Mus musculus: one gene and its partner. The protein of the gene in region 1 interacts with the protein of each later gene in a biochemical or structural test. Links are inferred from orthologs where the notes say so. Each region holds a gene or a part of one and is shown in the gene's direction. Other genes may lie near its edges.

Region 1 (9,259 bases):
ACTGGCAGCTAGTGATAAATGACTGGCTTTGCTTGTCATATCGAGCTTTCAAAAGAACAGAGTCTATGAGACTCTAGGAAAGACCCAAAGGTCATAGGTGACCTAAGTCTTCAAGAGGCTCTCTGCAGGACTATTCCATTGAGAAAAGCGCCTTTTCTGAAAGTGACTTCTCTGAGACCATCTTGAGGTTCTATGTCATGTCTTGTGTATTTTATGAAAATTGTAAGGGTTCTCTTTTACAGACAGCTACTCCTATTTAAAAATCTCAGCCCCTCTCACACTTTTCCTCCTCATTCCAGGGAAAGTATGGACCAAAGCAAATCCCTCTTCGCCAGACCAAGGGAGCTGGTACAAAGGCCTCCAGGATGAAGGACACACTTTAAAGACATTGTCTAAACTATGTCTCAATTCTTAGTGAAACGCAGAATTTTTATGAAAAGCACAGTAAGGGCTGGTGAGATGGCTCAGTGGGTAAGAGCACCCAACTGCTCTTCCGAAGGTCCGGAGTTCAAATCCCAGCAACCACATGGTGACTCACAACCATCCATAACGAGATCTGACTCCCTTTTCTGGAGTGTCTGAAGACAGCTACAGTGTACTTACATATAATAAATAAATAAATCTTAAAAAAAAAAGAAAAAAAGAAAAGCATAGTAAATGATGAATTGGAAATGAGTGGTGAATTATCAAGCTCATTGATTAAACCTTTCTGCAAAGCCACTCTAAAATCATAATTTGCCAGAATAAAGTAAATATGGCTGCTGTCCATCTGATGTCTTCTTCTGGTGGCCTCTCTTTTTGGTACAGTTGAAGAATGTTTTCACTATACCCTTTTCTGTGTTGTTCCCAGCCTCACTTGTGTCTCTCTGGGCCTGTTTGTAGTAAGTACTAGTGCCCCGGGAGCTGTCCGTAGCCACTGTAGTGTGTGCTCGCTGGGCTCAGGTGGAGGGCTTCACATCTAACATGAAATTTCTCTCTTGTGCATCTCTTGACTTTCCTACATTTATTGACTTATTGGCAGTGGGTGCTTTGTGTGCCAGCTCTCACACGTGGAGGTCCGAGGACAACTTGTGGGAGTCAGTTCTCTCCTTTCACCGTGTAGATCCCAGGGATTCAACTCTGCTCATCTTTCTTTGTGGCAAATAGCTTTGTCTGCTGAGCCATCTCAGTGACCTTATCTCTTGGGAATCTTTTTCTTTGACATTTAATCTTCTTTTTCCACTTAGGATGAAAGACAAGACACTAGCTCAGAAGGAGTCTCCACTGTGGAGGACCAGAATGACTCTGACTCCACGCCACCCAAAAAGAAAACTCGGAAGACAGAGAATGGAATGTATGCATGTGACCTGTGTGACAAGATATTTCAGAAGAGCAGCTCACTGTTGAGACACAAATATGAGCACACAGGTGTGTGGGGGACCTGGGCACGAGGTTCTAAAGGTGCCTGTGGCCCAGTGCACATGAAACATGCCCATAGTGTGTGACGTTCTCAGCTCTGCTCCGTGGTCTCCACTTTTCACATATTCCTACTGCGGAGCAGTGGCTTGGCTGTCTGCTGCCTAGACTCCCGTTTCGCCTTTAATGCCTTGGTGTCTATGCTGACAGAGCACTTGCTCTGCATACCTTCATTCCTTGCATCTCAGCTTCTGCTGCACACAAGGTGCTGAAGTGTCAGGAAGAGGACTCAGCTCCAGAAAGCAGCCAGTGAGCACCAGCTCTCCTGGTGCAAGGCTTGCCTCCTGGTCACCCAAAGGTTTTAAAAGGAAAGACCTTTGCTTTGTTAGAAAGAACTTCTGCATAAGAAACTGAACTTGATTTTAAGATCACTTCAGCCCAAAGATTCTATAATTCTCCCCAAAATACACAGGCCTTAGGCTGATCTAGGACCAACAAACAATGTCTTGCAAACCAAACAAGGCTTCACTTAGCTCTCTGATGCTTATGAGCCGAGACTAGACTTTTACATTTTTTGTGATTGAAAAGGATTTTTTTAAAGATAAAAGTCAAACTTTGGCATCCTAAATGATGTTTTATTCTGCCCAGTCATCCCTCACTTGCCTGTTGCTGATTACAGTGGGGATAAAGGCCAGCTGGTCCCAAGACACTTTACTAGTGAGGGCTTTTACGAAAGATGTTTGCTGATGTGCCCCTCCCAATTCCCTCTCTCCATAGCCATGCTGGTCTATTCTAATTTGTGTGTCTTTATGGCCTGGGAAGTCCAGATAAGAAGTATGTACCAACCCCTGTCCATGACTGACCTCAAGCCTGAACAGCTTTCAAACAACTCCAGAATTCCCATAGTTTAGCAACAGGCTCCTAGCTGATAAGAGCTGCATAGCCAACCAGTTTCTCTCCAACAAGATGGCTAGATGAAAGACTGGTTTCATCGTAACTAATCCCCAGGATCTTTTCCCTGGCCCTTACCAGCCACTTACCTACAGTTGAAGTAGCAACACACAGACCCTCAGCCTCTCACCAACAATGGTAACTCATTCCCCTGGTGAGAAGACACGCAGAGAAGCGGGACACTTGGGTGGCTGCTGAGGTTGAAAGCTGTACCTCTCTAATAAAAGCTTGGGACCACAGCCCTCTACTTATATTCACTGAGATAATTAGGAAATCTCCTAATTCTTTAAAAAGAGTTAAATACTGGTAATATCAAAATTAAAATGACATCCTAGCTGTAAAAAAATTTTCAAAAGTAATTTCTGGATTTTTAAGTGTTGACTGGCTCATAGCACTGTAGTTGGTAATAGCCAGTCCTGATTATGCCAGCTGTCCTCTGTGTATCCACTGTTGCTCAGGCCACACCCACTCATGAGGGGCAAGATTGCAGCCTTGTGGGGCAAAAGCTATTTTAGATGTTATAAAGAATTTCCACATCAGCTCTACATTTGTGAAAATTTGCCCATAAGTAGAAAGAGCTGTGAGACATCAAAATGCCGTGGAAGCCCCTCTTCCTGAGATTGTCACCCTGGCTCATGGGAGCCTCACTTATAAATGTTCTGCCATGTGGTCCTGATGTATGAATTTTTGGCATTTCCACCTTTTATAATTAGCACTGGCCTCATCTGCAAAGCAGTGTATAACCTTGAATTTTCACATAGAAAAAAATGAACCATAGTATTATCGTACAATTGGGAACCTGCCAGTTTCTTGACCATGGAACTGTGACCCTCCCCTTGCACAATCTGAATGTCCCTTCATTCTCCCAAGCACTCTGTTTATTTCTGCCAGTGTTCTGTTTCATAGCTGCGTTCTTACCTTGCAGGTAAGAGGCCTCACGAGTGTGGAATCTGTAGAAAGGCATTTAAACACAAGCATCATTTGATTGAGCACATGCGGCTGCACTCTGGGGAAAAGCCCTATCAATGTGACAAGTGTGGCAAGCGCTTCTCACACTCCGGCTCCTACTCTCAACACATGAATCACCGCTACTCCTACTGCAAGAGAGGAGCTGAAGACAGAGATGCTATGGAGCAGGAAGACGCTGGGCCCGAAGTCCTGCCGGAAGTCCTGGCGACTGAGCATGTTGGTGCCCGGGCGTCTCCCTCACAGGCTGACTCGGACGAGAGAGAAAGTCTGACAAGGGAAGAAGATGAAGACAGTGAAAAGGAGGAGGAGGAGGAAGATAAAGAGATGGAAGAATTACAGGAAGGAAAGGAATGTGAGAACCCACAGGGGGAGGAGGAGGAGGAGGAGGAGGAGGAAGAGGAGGAAGAAGAGGAGGAAGAGGAGGAAGTGGAAGCGGATGAAGCCGAGCATGAGGCAGCAGCCAAGACTGATGGTACAGTGGAGGTTGGAGCTGCACAGCAGGCAGGCAGCTTAGAGCAGAAGGCCAGCGAGAGCGAGATGGAGAGCGAAAGCGAGAGTGAGCAGCTGTCTGAAGAGAAGACAAATGAAGCTTAGGAGTTCTTCTAAAAGGAAATTCTACTTGGTAATGAAATTTGCTCTATATTACCCACGCTTTTCATGGAAACATGGCTCCATGGCTCCTGTGCTATGGTTCCTGCTCACTACTGTGTAATGTCAGAACTGAAAAAAAAAAAATTCCGGGTGTGCCTGAACCTCAAACCTAGTAATTTTTCATGCAGTTTTCAAAGTTAGGAACAAATTTATAACATGAAGCAGCTTAGAAAACATTAATGACTCAGAAAACAAAGGTTTCTCAGCAGGTTACAGGAGGCTGGATGGGCGTCCGGCATGGCTAGCAGTATTATCACTCTTACGTTGGCTCATTCTTAAGCTCTACAATGGGAGAAATTTTATAATTTTTTTATTGGTAAACATATGCTAAATCCGCTTCAGTATTTTATTATGTTTTTTAAAATGTGAGAACTTCTGCACTACAGAATTCCCTTCACAGAGCAGTAGAAAGCAGTTCAAACCGTGCTGGCTACCTGCTGCTACCCAGTCAGTCAGGAGATAGGACCTCTGACGTTAGATGCCGTGTTGCCATCTAACATGTATTGCTAGCCTTAAGGAAGCAGCCAGAGAAGAGCTGGAGTTTCTTACTCGTGTGATTTTTAAATGGAGTTCAAAGGTTGTCGTTGAGTCCTGACTCCAGGGACGACCAGTGTTGATGTGGCAAGGCCGGCAGAGGCGGCAGAATCAGTGTTCGTGATTGTTTGCGTACGTTAGCAACCATGAAGGATCTATAGGAAGCAAGCGCTGTGTCCCTTTGGCCTTAAGCAAGACCTGTGCTCTAAGTGCCATTCTCAGTATTGCAAGGCTCTGACAGCCTTCCCGCAGTGTGGCCTATATTAACTAGCAGTTGTTGATTCGTTTGTTGTGTCAAAATTCCCAAACAAAACTCAAAACCACTGACTGTGAGAGAAGCTGAAGCACTGGGGCATCTCACACTTTTGTTCCTCAGTAGTCATTTCATGTTGATTGACTCTCAGAAGTCTCTACAGAAATAAAAGGGAAATTCTCCAAACTACTTAATCCATGTACTTGCGTGTCAGGCATGGATACGCTATTGGTTTTTGGTTCACAGCCGTTTTCCAAATGTTAGTTATTACGGACCCAGGTGATGAACAACAGCAGCTGATTTTTACCTACCAGTATTATTTTATTTCTTTTAGTTTATAGATCTGTGCAACATTTTTGTACTGTATGTCTTTAAGCCTGGCAGTATTAATACCCTTCTTACTGACACGTACTTTTAGTTTTAGAAAACTTTTATATTTATGTGTCTTATTTTTATATTTCTTTATTTATTACACAGTGTAGTGTATAATACTGTAGTTTGTATTAATACAATAATATATTTTAGTATGAAATTTTGGAAAGTTGCTAAGATTTACAGTAGAGATGCAGTTGGTTCCCGTGCGTTGAGATTTGATTTAACAGTGTTCTGTTAACATTTATACTTGCCTCCGACTGTAGACCAGCCTTTAAATGGGAAGGTATTAGTTTTACAACTACAATCAAGTCATTCTCCCTTTCCCCAGTTTTTAATAGGAAACTCTTACACTTTGACACTCACTGTGTGCGACTCATAGCATGCCGCTCTGCAGTCTTCTGTTAAGAGTTGGCCCAGCCATAACTCATTCCCTTAGCAAGCCAAATTAGAATTGCCTTCTGTAAACAGTGTTGGGAACAATGTTTAACATGTGCCAATTTGTTCCTGTATCCATGTATGTAAGCTACCAATCTGACTCTTCCTTTTAAGTTCCTTGTTACACCATGGTCATTTTCTAGTTTTTTACCAGACTCCCCAGCTCACAATAAACGCATCAACAAACCTGACCTGCTGTCGTTCTTTGGATCATCAAATTTCCTTTGGAAAATTGTCTATGAAGTGGGCATTACATCCTAGAGCTTCATTCATCTTGAGCTGAGTTTGTTGACACAAAGTATTTGAGACACTTAGCACAAAGAATGCCTTTTCCTGTGGGGGAAATTCCCTGAGGAAGCCCTCTGCACAGGTTGTCCCTTCTTCCAAAACCCACAGAGCAAGAGCCTTCCCCTCAGGGAACATCAGGGCTGTGCAAGCTTAAGATGCTTTTTGCTTGTACTCTGCCACTCTTTGAACCCTTCTCATTCAGCTCAAGGACTGTCACTGATGTTCCTCCCCATGTCATGGTCATGCCTCATGTGCCCCCTGCCCATGAACTGCCTCTCAACAGACATTCATTGAATGAACACAGAAACTGCACATTTGCAGAGCTTAGCTGTGCTCACTGTTTTGCCTCTAATCTGAAAGTTCATAAGGTAAATGATTCCCATAATGTGCCGGTGGTCTTGTTTGAGTCTTATAGGCACTTACCATAGGAGATGTAATAAATGACTGCCTTGGAAGCTGCTCTGTTGTTGTGATGTGTGGAGAGCTTATTTCTAGGTGTCTTTCGGGTGCTCAAGTTTATGGTACGGGGTACAGGCATTGAAAGCTCAGGGAGGGACTACCTCGAAAATACTTGATAGACCTGGTTCTGACAGAGTTAGGACACACATCCTATGCCAGGACCCCACATTCTTACAATCTTGTGTGCTCCCCATCTTCCCACACCACAGCCCTTACTTCCCCTGTGTCCACTGTCAGCAGACTGCCTAATTTCCTGTCCCTAACACCAGCTATACCAAAAAAAAAATGTACTGTAAAGGTTATGAGATGCTAAAGTACCATTCTTAGGGGATGTCCACTACTCATGAAAGTAAATCTTGGAGAAGATGGTGCCTCATCCGTGAGCCTAGAAGGCTAATGAAACTAACCACATTATCAGGGAGCAGGTCTTTCCAGTGCCCCCTCACACCAGGAAAGAGTGGCATTGGTGTCCTGAGATGCATCTGCCTTGCTGCTTTTATCAAGATTATGTTTCAGAGAGCCTTAAAACTACCTGGGAAAGCCATATGGCCATAGCCACATGAAGAAGACGTAGAATGGGGCTCTGCACACAGACCTGTCTGACTCCAAGGACATGTCTCTGTCCAGCCTGCATCACATGTCATGTTGAGGTGGATTCTCCTGGCCTAGCCCTAGGCAAGAGGAATAGAAAATACCCCTGAGAGCAGCATGCATCCTGGCAGAGGAAGGTGGAGACTTGGGATTGTTCTCAGTTTCCAGTGCAAACTTGAAAGATAGCCTAAGGGAGGGAAAGGGGTTAAACTCACAGAGAAATCTAATCCTGGATTCCACCTGAGATCACCGGGAAGCTATATTAAAGCAACCATGTATTAATTCTACCTCTGACAGAACTTCAGACCTACAGACACACCTCTGCCCAGTAAAGACAAATTCACCCAGAACACACATTTATTTACCTCAATAACTCCTGGGTCATTTACAGGGAAAAAACATAGGGCATAACAGAATTCTCACTTTTGAGATGGAAACCAGCCTAACTACTCAGTGGTTAAAAAAAAAACACCCAGAATGCCTGACGACCTGAGTTCCATCCCTAGCACTCCAGAATCCCAGAACCCACAGTGGAAGGAGAAGACCAACTCTAATATTGTCCTCAGACCAGCATTTGCATGCCATTCATGCACACACATAAACTAATCATAAAATTGTTTTAAAACACCCATAGATCAGTAATAAATACATTTTTAAATCATCTAAATTATTACAAAGCCATATCAAGTTGTTCCTGATGAAAAATATGACTCACAATGATGGCATCTTATGTCAAAAATTGTAGTATAAAGTTAAGTGATATGTACAAGAGAAGGCACAGTGTTAAATGCTGACAACAGGAGAGAACAAAGGACTCATACAAGCCTCCACCTCAAACTGTACAAGTAAAACACAAAACAGGAGAGAGCCGATAATAAGGAAAAGAGAAAACCGTGACATAAAAAAGCCATGTAAACCAAGTCAACCTCTGAAAAGGTAGATTTCTAGCCATACAGTCCGAGGTAGATAGAAGAGACAAATTGCCAATCTTGACAGAAACAAAGAAAAGCCATCTACAGACCCTACAGAGTAAGATACAGAAGGAATAACTGCATGTCCATGTTTCTGACAGCTTGGGGAAAAGTGCCACATTGCTTGGAAGGCCATAATTACCAAAGCTCATGCAGAAATAACCTAAGTGCAATCAAAACTAAATTGATTGCCAAAAGCGTCCTACAAAAGAGGATTCACAGCAGGTGTTGCTACTGGTGATTTTTTTGTTTCATACATTTGAAAAAGTTGTACCAATTCTACACAAATCATCTCCTTCTCCAATTGCCTGTGAAGCTCAGATCAACAAGGGCATTTCAATACAAGAGCTACAGACTTAAATTCCTCAAGAAAATAGATGGAAAGACCTTCAACTGAATATTAGGACATTACTTTGAACACTTTATCAACAGGAAAAATGAATCATGATTACGTGTGATTTTTCCCTAAAACTTCAAGATTCATGGAGCATCCCCAAAAGTCAAGTAGTGTTACTCCCACTAACAGTGTACTTAAGAGTGCTTGGAGATTCTGATTATCTCAGAAGTGAAAGAGAAACAATCAATAAATAAATCAGTAAAACCTTCAACAGCAAGCCAGAAATTACCAGCAGTCTAAAAGTAGGAGGTGATCTCTGTAATAATTGTCATCTTCAAAACCTCTACAAGTAAAACACCAGTGTGAAAGGCCCACACCTTCCTCCAGATGAGGAGCAAGACCAGAAGGTTACACTGGCTAAACCTTAGGCTGGGTCCTTTAAGGACAGACTGCAGCAGTATGTTACCTGCAGTCAGCCTAGTTGTCTACAGAGGAAACAAGGAATTTTTAAGGAAAGGTCAAGAAGTTATGAGAATTCAGTCACTTTCTCCCAAATAATTCTAGATGTGGGAATTTACACATAGACACAGTTCCATTAAAAATGAAAATATTTGGTGATACTTTAAAAGATTCAAACAAGACCTGTGCACTGAAAGCTCCAAAATATTACTGAAATAAATTAAAAATGCAAAGAAAATAAAATTCCATGTTTGTGAATCAGATGAAGACAGTATTAAGAAAAGTTTTACCAAGGTAACTATTGACACAATGAGATAACTACTGACACAATGACATAACTACTGACACAATGATGTAACTACTGACACAATGATGTAACTACTGACACAATGATGTAACTACTGACACAATGATGTAATTACTGACACAATGACATAACTACTGTCACAATGACATAACTACTGTCACAATGACGTAACTACTGACACAATGATGTAACTACTGACAGAATGCTGTTCTAATCAAAATGTCAACTACATATTGAAGTTTTGTGGAAGAACAAAGGACTTTAAGAAAATAATTTTGAAAAGG
Region 2 (10,235 bases), on another chromosome or scaffold:
ACTCAGGCTGAAGGAGATAAACATATGTACAAACACACACACACACACACACACACACACACACAGAGAGAGAGAGAGAGAGAGAGAGAGAGAGAGAGAGAGAGAGAGAGAGAGAGAGAGAGAGAAACAGAGACAGAGAGGCAGAGACAGATACACATAGAGAGAGAGAGTGGGGTGGTAAAATTTATTAACTTATGAGTTTGACAGAAAATCAAGCAAGATGGACAGATTCTCAAGTCAGAAGGAAGGTACCCCTATTCACCGAACTCTAGACCTCCAACTCAGGGACACAGCATCCTGATTTCTATCACCACTTCCAGCTACTCCACTGGAATCCAAGGCAGCAAAAGCTGCAAGGACTTTGTATCAGGTGCACTAAGGGGGGATGGTGGTCATTAATCTGCCTCCCCACACCCTGCCATGAGACACCATGGTCCCACTCAAACCAGAGACCTCTGAGTGATCCTGGATTTGTCACACTGAACCAATACTCAATGTTGTTCCTCTCTTCCACTGCTCTGTGGCAACAGCAGTTTGCATTGCTGGATTAGAAGATTACAAAGAGAGTATGTGGTCACTGGCCATGATCTGAATCTCTAAGGCCTAGGATCGCCTGCCAGCTATAGTGGTGTTTCCCAGAACATCCCACCCCTGCAATATCCATCAATTCAATTGAATCACACCAACACTCTCCCCCTAGGTTTAGGTCAGGTCATTCATCTTGGAAGGTAACAATTGTCCTTGCCCTGAAGACTTTAATGAACCCAAGAACACAGGAAGCGAATGATTGCCAGGTATGACCCCACACACCTATCACCCTTGTGCCTGGAGAGAGAAGCAGGAGGCTTGTGAGCTCAAGGGCAGCTTGGGCCACACAGGATGCCTGCCATCTGTTCCAAGAAAGAAAAGAGAAAGGGTGCTAGATCCTTTGTCTTTAAATAAATATGACTCTTCTCACCCATGAGCACAGTGTAACGACTGGGCAGATGTCAAAGGGTCGGTCCACTTGCATTCATTCGGCCAGGCTCCATCACAGAGCATAGAGAGATCTGACCCAGCTAGCCGGGTGTCCACCTTGTACTCTTGGTACTGATATAAAGTGTTTGATTTGCTTACCTGGGATTCTGGGACCCTCAGACTGAAAGGTCATGGCCATTTCCTGTTTCCCTCACACCATGCAGGCACCAGCTTTGTTTTGTTGGGATATGGCGCTATGTGGTGGCAGCCATTGTTGTCTTCCGCAGAAATGATGTTGCCACGTCAGCCTGACTGTGCCATGATGTTTTAAAGTGCGGACACGAGGGATGTCTTTAACACTTGGAAGCACTGAAGATTAAAGCACACATGGGGCTGATAGGAAGTCATGTTTCTGATCTGTGGCTCCTCAAGTGGTTGCTCATCTCTGCAGACATCACGGGGGCCCTACTCTCTACCTCTCTTCTTTCATGTTATGTGGACAATGCCATCACATATTCATATAGCAAAAATAACTCACGTCTTCAAATCATACAGCTTCAGACCTTAAGGAGAGAAAATCACCCCATGTGAACCAGCCAAGTGACACACAATCATCTCCACTCCTGTAGCAAGAGCATGAATCTAGTTGTCCCACCTTTCACTTTAAAAGTCCAAAGACCCAGAAGCTTATAAAATCCCTTTCTCTTAGAAAGGCTGAACTCACACATCATATCATACAATATAATGTCTGCCGTTTTAAAGTGTGATGGACATTTCCCCCTTGTGGACAGCAGAGAGTAAGGATTAATCAATGCAAGGTTCTTGTCTGACAGAGCTGGCCACAGCCACAGAAAGTCATGGCATTTCTGAAGTCCTGGCTACCAGTGTCTGCACATCTACACCATGTTGGTCTTTGAAGCAAAATTGTTCCCACACACATCCCCCTTAATGGAGAGGATGTTAATTTGCTGGAGTCTCCAATGAGTGATGCAAGGAATCAGTCAAAGTGGCCTGGATAAGAGCAGTGTGCAAGCAAAGGTTAATGCTGAGAGAGACTTCACTCTGTTTTAACACTCTCTCTCTCTCTCTCTCTCTCTCTCTCTGTCTCTGTCTCTCTGTCTCTCTCTCCCTCCTACTCACACACAGGAGAAAGAGTAAGACAGAGGCAGAGCCAAAGAAACAGAGAGAAAGAGATGCAGAGAGGCAGAGAGATGGAGGACTATAGGTCCTGAAAGCAGCCTACTGCTGAAATGTCGTCATTTTGTATGTTTTATTATTCTACAAGTTTGGTTTGATCACTCCAAATTACAGTTAGACAGTTACATTATTTAAATTTTTGACCATCTTCCTGCTTCCCTTGTTTGAGTCACTGCTGTTTTAGAATGTGTCTGTGATATGTCAATCTGAAGCCTCTGTTTGTAATGTTCACATTCCTTGGATACAGACAAAAAGTCTGGGAAGTGGGTGGAATGTGTCCCTTTGGGCTCCCCATTCATACTACTGAACCATGGTTTTTAGTTATTCAACTTGGGATTGATCATACTGTTCCCATAATAAGTGTCAGGCCAGCTGTGGCTGCTATCTTCTCTTTGGGTTGGTTTCCTGAATGCATTGAGATAACTCTAGGAGTGGAGACCCAGGTTGGAATAGGGAAGTGTGATAGATTTCAGTAGGAAGAATTTTTTAACTGATTCTGAAACAATGTGGCAAATATTTAGATATATATTTTCCTGATTCCAGTCTTTTTTATTTGCATACTTCTCCCACAATTTTTGTGCCACTGTATGTGGGTATATGTGGAGAGAACTTGATAAAATATTTCTGAGTTCTGGAAAGATCTCTGTGAGGCCGATCACCCTCTTCCGGGTTTACACATTCACCCATAGCATTGTTCTTAAGTGTGCTGACGCCCTGCAATGTGCTACTTAGTGATTTTAACCTGAACACCCAATACTAGGGTTACTAATATAAGGGGTGACCAAAAGTATATGTTGCCACTCTGTGTAAACATCTTAGGATCTTTCACCTTTGACCGATGAGCTCTAAGTGTTTACAGTTTATCCCTGTAGGAACAGCATGTTGCTGGGCTGAGGTCTATTTTATCCTGAATCATATGCGTATTTTTCCTCTCCCCAACACTCAGAAATAATAACCTCTCCACTTTACTCTTGAGATTTTAATTTTAAAGCTTCCGGAAGGAACACTGTAGAATTTGCCATCTTAGTGAATCCCTAACCCTACCTTGGTTAGTTTTGTTGTTGTTGTTTCAGGGTTTTTTTTTTCCCCCGTTCTTTCTATTTTTTTTCTTTTTTTTCTTTCTTTTTTTTTTTTCTTTTTAAGAGTGCCATAACCAGATGAAGCCTGAGCCTTCCCAAGATCTTTTACTAAAATCTGTGGCTGTTGTTACCTCTGGTAGAATCCCTTTCAGAAGGGGTTTTTCTGCCTAGGGGGACAGCGGTACTATTCATCCCTGCTGGAGGCCTGATTCCGGGGCTGGGGGCCCATACGTGGAGAGGGGAGGGGCCAGGGGGCGGCCCCCTTGTGACCAGCCCCGAAGAGAGGTCATAGAGAAGACTGGCAGAGGAGCGCCTGGACAGCAGCAGCAGCTGACTTTCTAGATGAAGCGCGCCTTGGGGCCCCAGGTAACAAACCCAGACCTTTTTACAAATCCGCGGGCTTGGGGAGCTGCGGTGGTTGCGGGGAGGGAGCATGCACTTTGGGGGTCGCGTACTGTGGATGGGGGTGGTCACGCGTGAAGGGAGTCTGAATTCTGGGGGAAACCCTAGGAAATGAGAGGACAGGAGCAAGAAACGGGGTGTGAGGGCACAGGCACGAAAGAGCAAGAGAGGGCGCTCGAGCGTGGCACACAGCAAGCGCGCTTAGGAGTAGAGGCTGGAAGCATAGGTAAGAAAGGAGGCAGGGGACACTTTCGTCCACTGAGTCAGTTTTTTTTCAAAGATAACCTCCTTTCAGCCATATTTAACATACATTGTTGACTCGAGGGGTTTAAAGATGCAAGGAAAGAACGTAGAAAAAGGTGCGCCAAAGCGAGGCTGCACAGAGCGCCGAAAAGACAGCGGGTTATGCCTTTTTAAAAGAGTTGCCATCCTTTTCACCCTAAAGCTCAGGACAGTCCCCTTCCCCCCTCCTTCCCCGGTACCAGCAGTTCTGGCGGCCTTTGGAGCAGGTAGCCGCGGGCTCGGGCTCGGCACGCCACGCGAGCCCCCGGTGCAGGGGCGGAGCCGCGGCCGCGCGCGGGGCTCGCGGCAGGGGGAGGGGCTGAGGCTAACGGCACCGCGGCCATGACGCCGGGCTGGCCGTCCACACGAGTTCCTGTCTCCCTCCACCCATAGTCATAGCTCATTCCCAGACGCGTTTCTTCCCAGGCTTGGGAGTGAGCCGATGGCCCACGTTCGAGAAGCGTCCCGGTCCTCCCGCTCTGTCGCCTGTTGGAGTTCGGGAGGTGGTCGAGGAGCCTGTCTGGAGCAGGCAGCTGAGAGTGCATCGAGATGCGGGGTACACAGGGAGCCCAGGAGATGAAGCCGGAGCTGTGGCCGGAGCCCAAGCCCACGTCGGAGAACTTAACAAGTAGGGGCAGTGGCAGCTATGAGAAGGTGCTCCCTTCTATCCCGGCTGCTTGTCACACCAGCTCCAGCTCGGTTTGCCCGCGCCGCAAGCCCCGCCCTCGGCCCCAGCCCAGGTCCCGCTCCAGGGGAGGGCGTGGGCTCAAGGCCCCACCCCCGCCTCCCGCCAAACCTCCGCCTCCCCCGCCAGCGCCGCCACCTCCACCCCTGCCCAAGCAGCGGTCGGTGGCCTGGCGCAATTCCAGACGTAGATCCAGGCCTGGACCCAGACCCCAAACACGGAAAAGCTACTCTAGTGACCATGGCTCCTCTAGGGATTCAGATGGCTCAGAGAACAGTTTACTGGAGGTAGGGTCTAATAAGGGTCCCACAGGCTGCTGTCATGTAGAGAGCTTTAAAGTAGCTAAAAACTGGCAGAGAAACCTGCGGATGATCTATCAGCGTTTCATTTGGAGTGGAACCCCGGAGACTAGGAAACGTAAGGCAAAGTCATGCATCTGTCAAATATGTAGTACTCACAAGAACAGACTCCACTCTTGTCTGTCCTGTGTATTTTTTGGATGCTTTACTGACAAACATATTCACATTCATGCCGAAACAACGCAACACAATTTAGCAGTAGACCTCTGTCATGGGGTTATATATTGCTTTATGTGTAGGGATTATGTATATGACAAAGATATAGAAAAGATCGCCAAAGAAACAAAAGAAAAAATTCTGGGACTGTTATCATCCCCTACAGGAGATGCATCTTATCAGCAGTTGATGGCATCTGAGGTGGAAGAAAACCAATTAACCTGCGAGTCAAAAGATCAGGAGACCAGTTTGGTAAAACCCAAGAAAAAGAGGAGGAAAAAGACAATGTATTATACTGTAGGCTTCAGAGGATTAATTAATCTTGGTAATACTTGCTTTATGAATTGTATTGTCCAAGTACTTACTCACATTCCGCTACTGAAAGAGTTCTTCCTTTCAAATAAGCACAAATGTATGATGACAAGCCCCAGCTTGTGTTTAGTCTGCGAGATGTCTTTACTTTTTCAAGCTATGTACTCGGGGAACCAAAGTCCTCATATTCCCTATAAATTACTACACCTGATATGGATCCATGCAGAGCATCTAGCAGGCTACAGACAACAGGATGCTCAGGAGTTTCTTATTGCCATATTGGATGTGTTGCATAGACACAGCAGAGATGATGGTATCGACCAGGAAGGTAACTCCAACTGCTGTAATTGCATCATAGATCACATCTTTACAGGTAGTCTGCAGTCAGATTTAACATGTCAAGTTTGTCATGGTGTCTCTACTACCATAGACCCATGCTGGGACATTAGCTTGGATTTGCCTGGGCCTTATACTCCAGGGAGGGCTAGTAGTAGCACATCGAGTAGGGATGGCCAGAAGCCACGAGTCATCTCACTTACAGATTGCCTGAAGTGGTTTACAAGGCCCGAAGACCTGGGTAGCAGTGCCAAAATCAAATGCAGTCAATGCCAAAGCTACCAGGAATCTACCAAACAGCTCACAATGAAGAAATTACCGATTGTGGCCTGCTTTCACCTGAAAAGATTTGAACATTTAGGCAAACAGAGACGAAAGATTAATAGTTTTATCTCGTTTCCTTTGGAGCTGGACATGACCCCGTTCTTGGCTTCTACTAAAGAAAGCATAATGAAAGGCCAGCCATTAACAGAGTGTGTACCCAGTGAGAATAAGTATTCTTTGTTTGCAGTAATTAACCACCATGGAACTTTGGAAAGTGGCCATTACACCAGTTTTGTCCGACAGGAAAAAGACCAGTGGTTCAGCTGTGATGATGCTGTAGTCACCAAGGCTACAATGGAAGAATTACTCAATAGTGAAGGGTATCTACTGTTCTATCATAGGCAAGATATAGAGAAAGAATAATCTCATCCAGAATGATTTCCAGACCAAAAAAAATTTAAAAAGTGAAAAAGAAGAGAAAACAAAAAAGAAAAAGACAAAGAGACAACACAAGCCTACCAGGATGGACAATTGTAATGCCATTACAACAACAAGCACCTCTTAAAAGAAACACAAAAATCTACCTGGAGTGGACAATGACCATATATGACAAGTGGCACTTTGGCATAAAGGAACTATTTTACCCTGTCCCATAAGTCTATGGGAGGAAGACATTGAATTTTCAATCGGTGACCATTAGCCTTAAGAACTGGGGGGGGGGGGGGGGTTCAGAGGGAGGAGAGGTTGAAAAGGTCACATAAAGCAAATTAAATGAAGTCTCAACATGTAGGAGGATCTTCTCAAATTACATTTTATTTCTTTAAAGATATTGTGTTAAGTGGGGGGGTATATTTTAAGAATGGGGTTTTTCATTGATTGTAGTTATAGTTTTGAGTGTACAGAGTAGTCTGGAGAAAACCAAATATTTTAAACAAAAAACTTTAAAGCTTTAAAAGAAAACAATTAAGAAACACTTTTGAAGGTTTTAAGAGAACATTTTAAATGTTAAAAATTTAAGTTAAGTATTTTAGAAGAAATATTTTTAAATGTTTTTAATTTAAAATTATTCCAAATTGTTAGTATGTAAAAATAGAGTATGGAAATAGAGTATTCTAAAAATTTTCTAAAATTTTGCAAGTTAAGATGAAACATGAACATTTCTAAGGTGGTTAGTGAAAAAAAAACCACTAACTTAAAATCAGTAAGGGAAAATTTTAGAAAGTGAAAACATTTGGATTCTAAATATTTAAAGCATAAAATATATGCATTGGAAAGACCAAAATTTACAAAAATTATACCTATAATAATATAAAAAGTAAAATTTCAAGGTATATAGAACAAAATGAAATTTTAAGTTAAATTCAGGAAAGGAGATTTAAAAGAAGAAAGTTTAGAACTATTCAAGGGAACAGGTAATTAGTTTTAAAGATTTCAATTTTTTAGATATTAAGAGAGAACCTTCTGTAAATTCAACTGCAGAGATTTCAGTATAAAAACCAACTTTTAAGTTTAAAAAGAATATTCTCATACAAACTGACACCTGAAAAAAACATGTAAATAAGATCATATTTGGAAGGTGAAAGTTTTATTTTGTACTTTAGCACATTGAAATATAGATGGATATAAAAGAGATAAATGATAGAGCGAGAAGACAAAATGGTTTGTGAACATATGTATTTTTTTAATCTTATGTCAATGCAGATAACTATATCGGAAAAAGGTAATGCCATCAAGATTTTTCCCATTTAGAACTCATTATTAGAACATCTTTAGCTTCTGAAAGAAGGCTTTTAATAATTTTGTGGCTTAGAGAAATTAGATCATAACTGTGAAGCTTTGGCTTTTGGTGTTTTAGCCCCATGGTCTGGCTGAAAAAGTGGCAGGGACCCTTAACTGAGGAAACTCCCACCCTCTCTGCCTTCAGTCTTTTGTCTCATGGGGAAACAAGATATTTTCATTTCTACAGTAGAACTCTGAGTTTGTGTTTAACGGTCCTGCTAATTCCTTATCCCTCTTCATGCCCACCCCCCCACCCCCACCCCACCCCCATTCCTCCTTCCCTGAATCCCACACTTCCCTGGCCTTATCCCAGCCTGCAAGGATCCTTTCTTAGTGAATACCTGGTGATTTCATTCCTTCAAGACTAACTCCCAGATGACTTCTCTGGAACCATCCCTGGATCCCCTATGCAGGCGTAAAATAGATAGTCCCCATCCCCATCTCTCCTATGTGCCTCCAAAGTACTTCGTCTATACCTCGATGAATAATACTTATTCGACTGTGATTCTACTGTAGCATTGTGATTGTCTACCTCTCTGCACCAGACCCTGAGAGCAGAGGGACAAGCCTTATTCACTTTTTGTGTTAATAAATGTTTGTTGAATGCAAAAGCAAGTTTCATTATTTGCTCTGTTCACCCTGTTAGGAATCCATTTTTCCACATTTCACCAAGCTCTCATTAAATGCCCAGTGTTGCAATACAATATGATAAAGCTTCCTCCCCACCCCACCCCCAGAGACAGTGTATGAAATGCTCCTTAGCTTTTTGGGGAATAGCTTAACAAAATATATACTCACTGAGAGAATAATCAGGAGTTGGGGAGGGAGAGAGAACCAGAAATAATAATAGAGGGAAAAGCACCCAGCCCTGGAAGACTGGATGGACAGTGGGGACCACCACCTGAAGGAGAAGCTGAGCTCTCTGGTATGTATATGACAACATCACTATCACAGTTTCCCACACCTTCCCACGATGAGGCAGTGTATCTTACCACTCCACTGCAGAGTTTTATATCATACTGTGTCATGACTTCGCAGCAGAAAAGTGACATCTGGTGGCTGTAGTTTGTCTGTTTAGCACTTTGTTCTTCCACAATTCTTTGTGGTCTAGATGAGAGTTTGTATACTGGCTGGTTTTGTGTGTCAACTTGACACAAGCTAGAGTCATCAGAGAGGAAGGAGTCTCAGCTGAGGAAATACCTCCATGAGATCCAGCTGTAAGGCATTTTATTAGCTAGTGATCAATGAGGTGTGGGGAGCTTGGCCCATTATGGGTGGTGCCATCCCTGGCCTGGTGGTCCTGGGTTCTATAGGAAAGCAGGCTGAGCAAGCCAGTAAGCAGTATCCCACTGTAGTCTCTGCATCAGCTCCTCCTTCCAGGTTTGAGTTCCTGTCCTGACTTCCTTTGGAGATAAACAGCAATGTGGAAACGTAAGCTGAGTAAACCCTTTCCTCACCAACTTGCTTTTTGGTCATGGTGTTTCATCACAGCAATAGAAACCCTAAGACAGTGTGAATCCCTTTGCCCTGACACTTCCTCTGCATAGTGAGCCCATCACTCAACATAGGCCATGTTAATTTTCAGTCTTCTCACACAACAGGAAAGCTGTTTGGTTCCTGGCAGTTGGAAAGCAAAATAGAAACCAGCAGGGGCCAGGAGCTCTGTATCTCCAAAGGAAGTCAGGGCAGGAACTCAAACAGGACTGTTACCTGGAAGCAGGAGGTGATGCAGAGACCCTGGTAAGATACTGCCTCCTGGAGTATGCCCCAGTGGTATAACTTCCTTCTACTAAACCTCCTAAAGGTTTCACAACCTCCCAGTGACTATAGACTAATGGCCAGTGACTTTAAGATGCATGTACTTTTGGAGGACATTTAACTGCCAAACCATAACAACCTGTTAGCAGTTATTACCTAAAGGTAATGTGGCAAATAGCAAGAATCCTAACGTAGTTCCTAACTTGCAGAAACTTGGCCTGTATTTTAGTCTGCCTGTGTTGTTGTAATAAAATGCCCAAGCCAGAGCAATTTTAAAGAATAGAACTTTGTTCTTACAGTTCTTGAGACTAGGAAGTCCAAGACCAAGGTGCCATTAAGGCTGATGTCTGGGTAAGGGCTGTGTTTTTTGTCACGATGCTGCTATCTTGGTCCAAAGATGAGAACATCCTGTTCTCAATTGGTGGACAGAGCCCAAAAGCCACTGAGGACTTAGCAGGTCGCAGTCAGCCTTAAGAGCACTAATTTATGCATGATGGCTGAACATTTTGACCTGTTCTCCAAAGGGCCATGCTCATTAGTACTATTGAATTGAAGATTAACTTTCAATGTATAAATATTTGTGATTCAGACTGTAGCAGTCCGTAGGCTATGCACTCACTGTCTGTATAAGAGTCTACAAAGGCTACTTCTGATCACATGGTTCTAGCT

What was found.
Region 2: the proteins of Zeb1 (region 1) and Usp51 form a complex in vitro, tested with the Homo sapiens proteins (2 studies listed by BioGRID). The link is inferred for Mus musculus from reciprocal best matches to the Homo sapiens genes ZEB1 and USP51.

Annotation. Positions count from the first base shown.
Region 1 is NC_000084.6:5,769,158-5,778,416, forward strand, and holds the end of Zeb1 (zinc finger E-box-binding homeobox 1), read left to right. Parts: intron 1-1,226; coding exon 1,227-1,407; intron 1,408-3,271; coding exon 3,272-3,909; 3' UTR 3,910-6,311; downstream 6,312-9,259. UniProt on the Homo sapiens protein: Acts as a transcriptional repressor. Inhibits interleukin-2 (IL-2) gene expression. Enhances or represses the promoter activity of the ATP1A1 gene depending on the quantity of cDNA and on the cell type.
Region 2 is NC_000086.7:153,002,946-153,013,180, forward strand, and holds Usp51 (ubiquitin carboxyl-terminal hydrolase 51), read left to right. Parts: upstream 1-3,523; 5' UTR 3,524-3,599; intron 3,600-4,343; 5' UTR 4,344-4,466; coding exon 4,467-6,452; 3' UTR 6,453-6,516; downstream 6,517-10,235.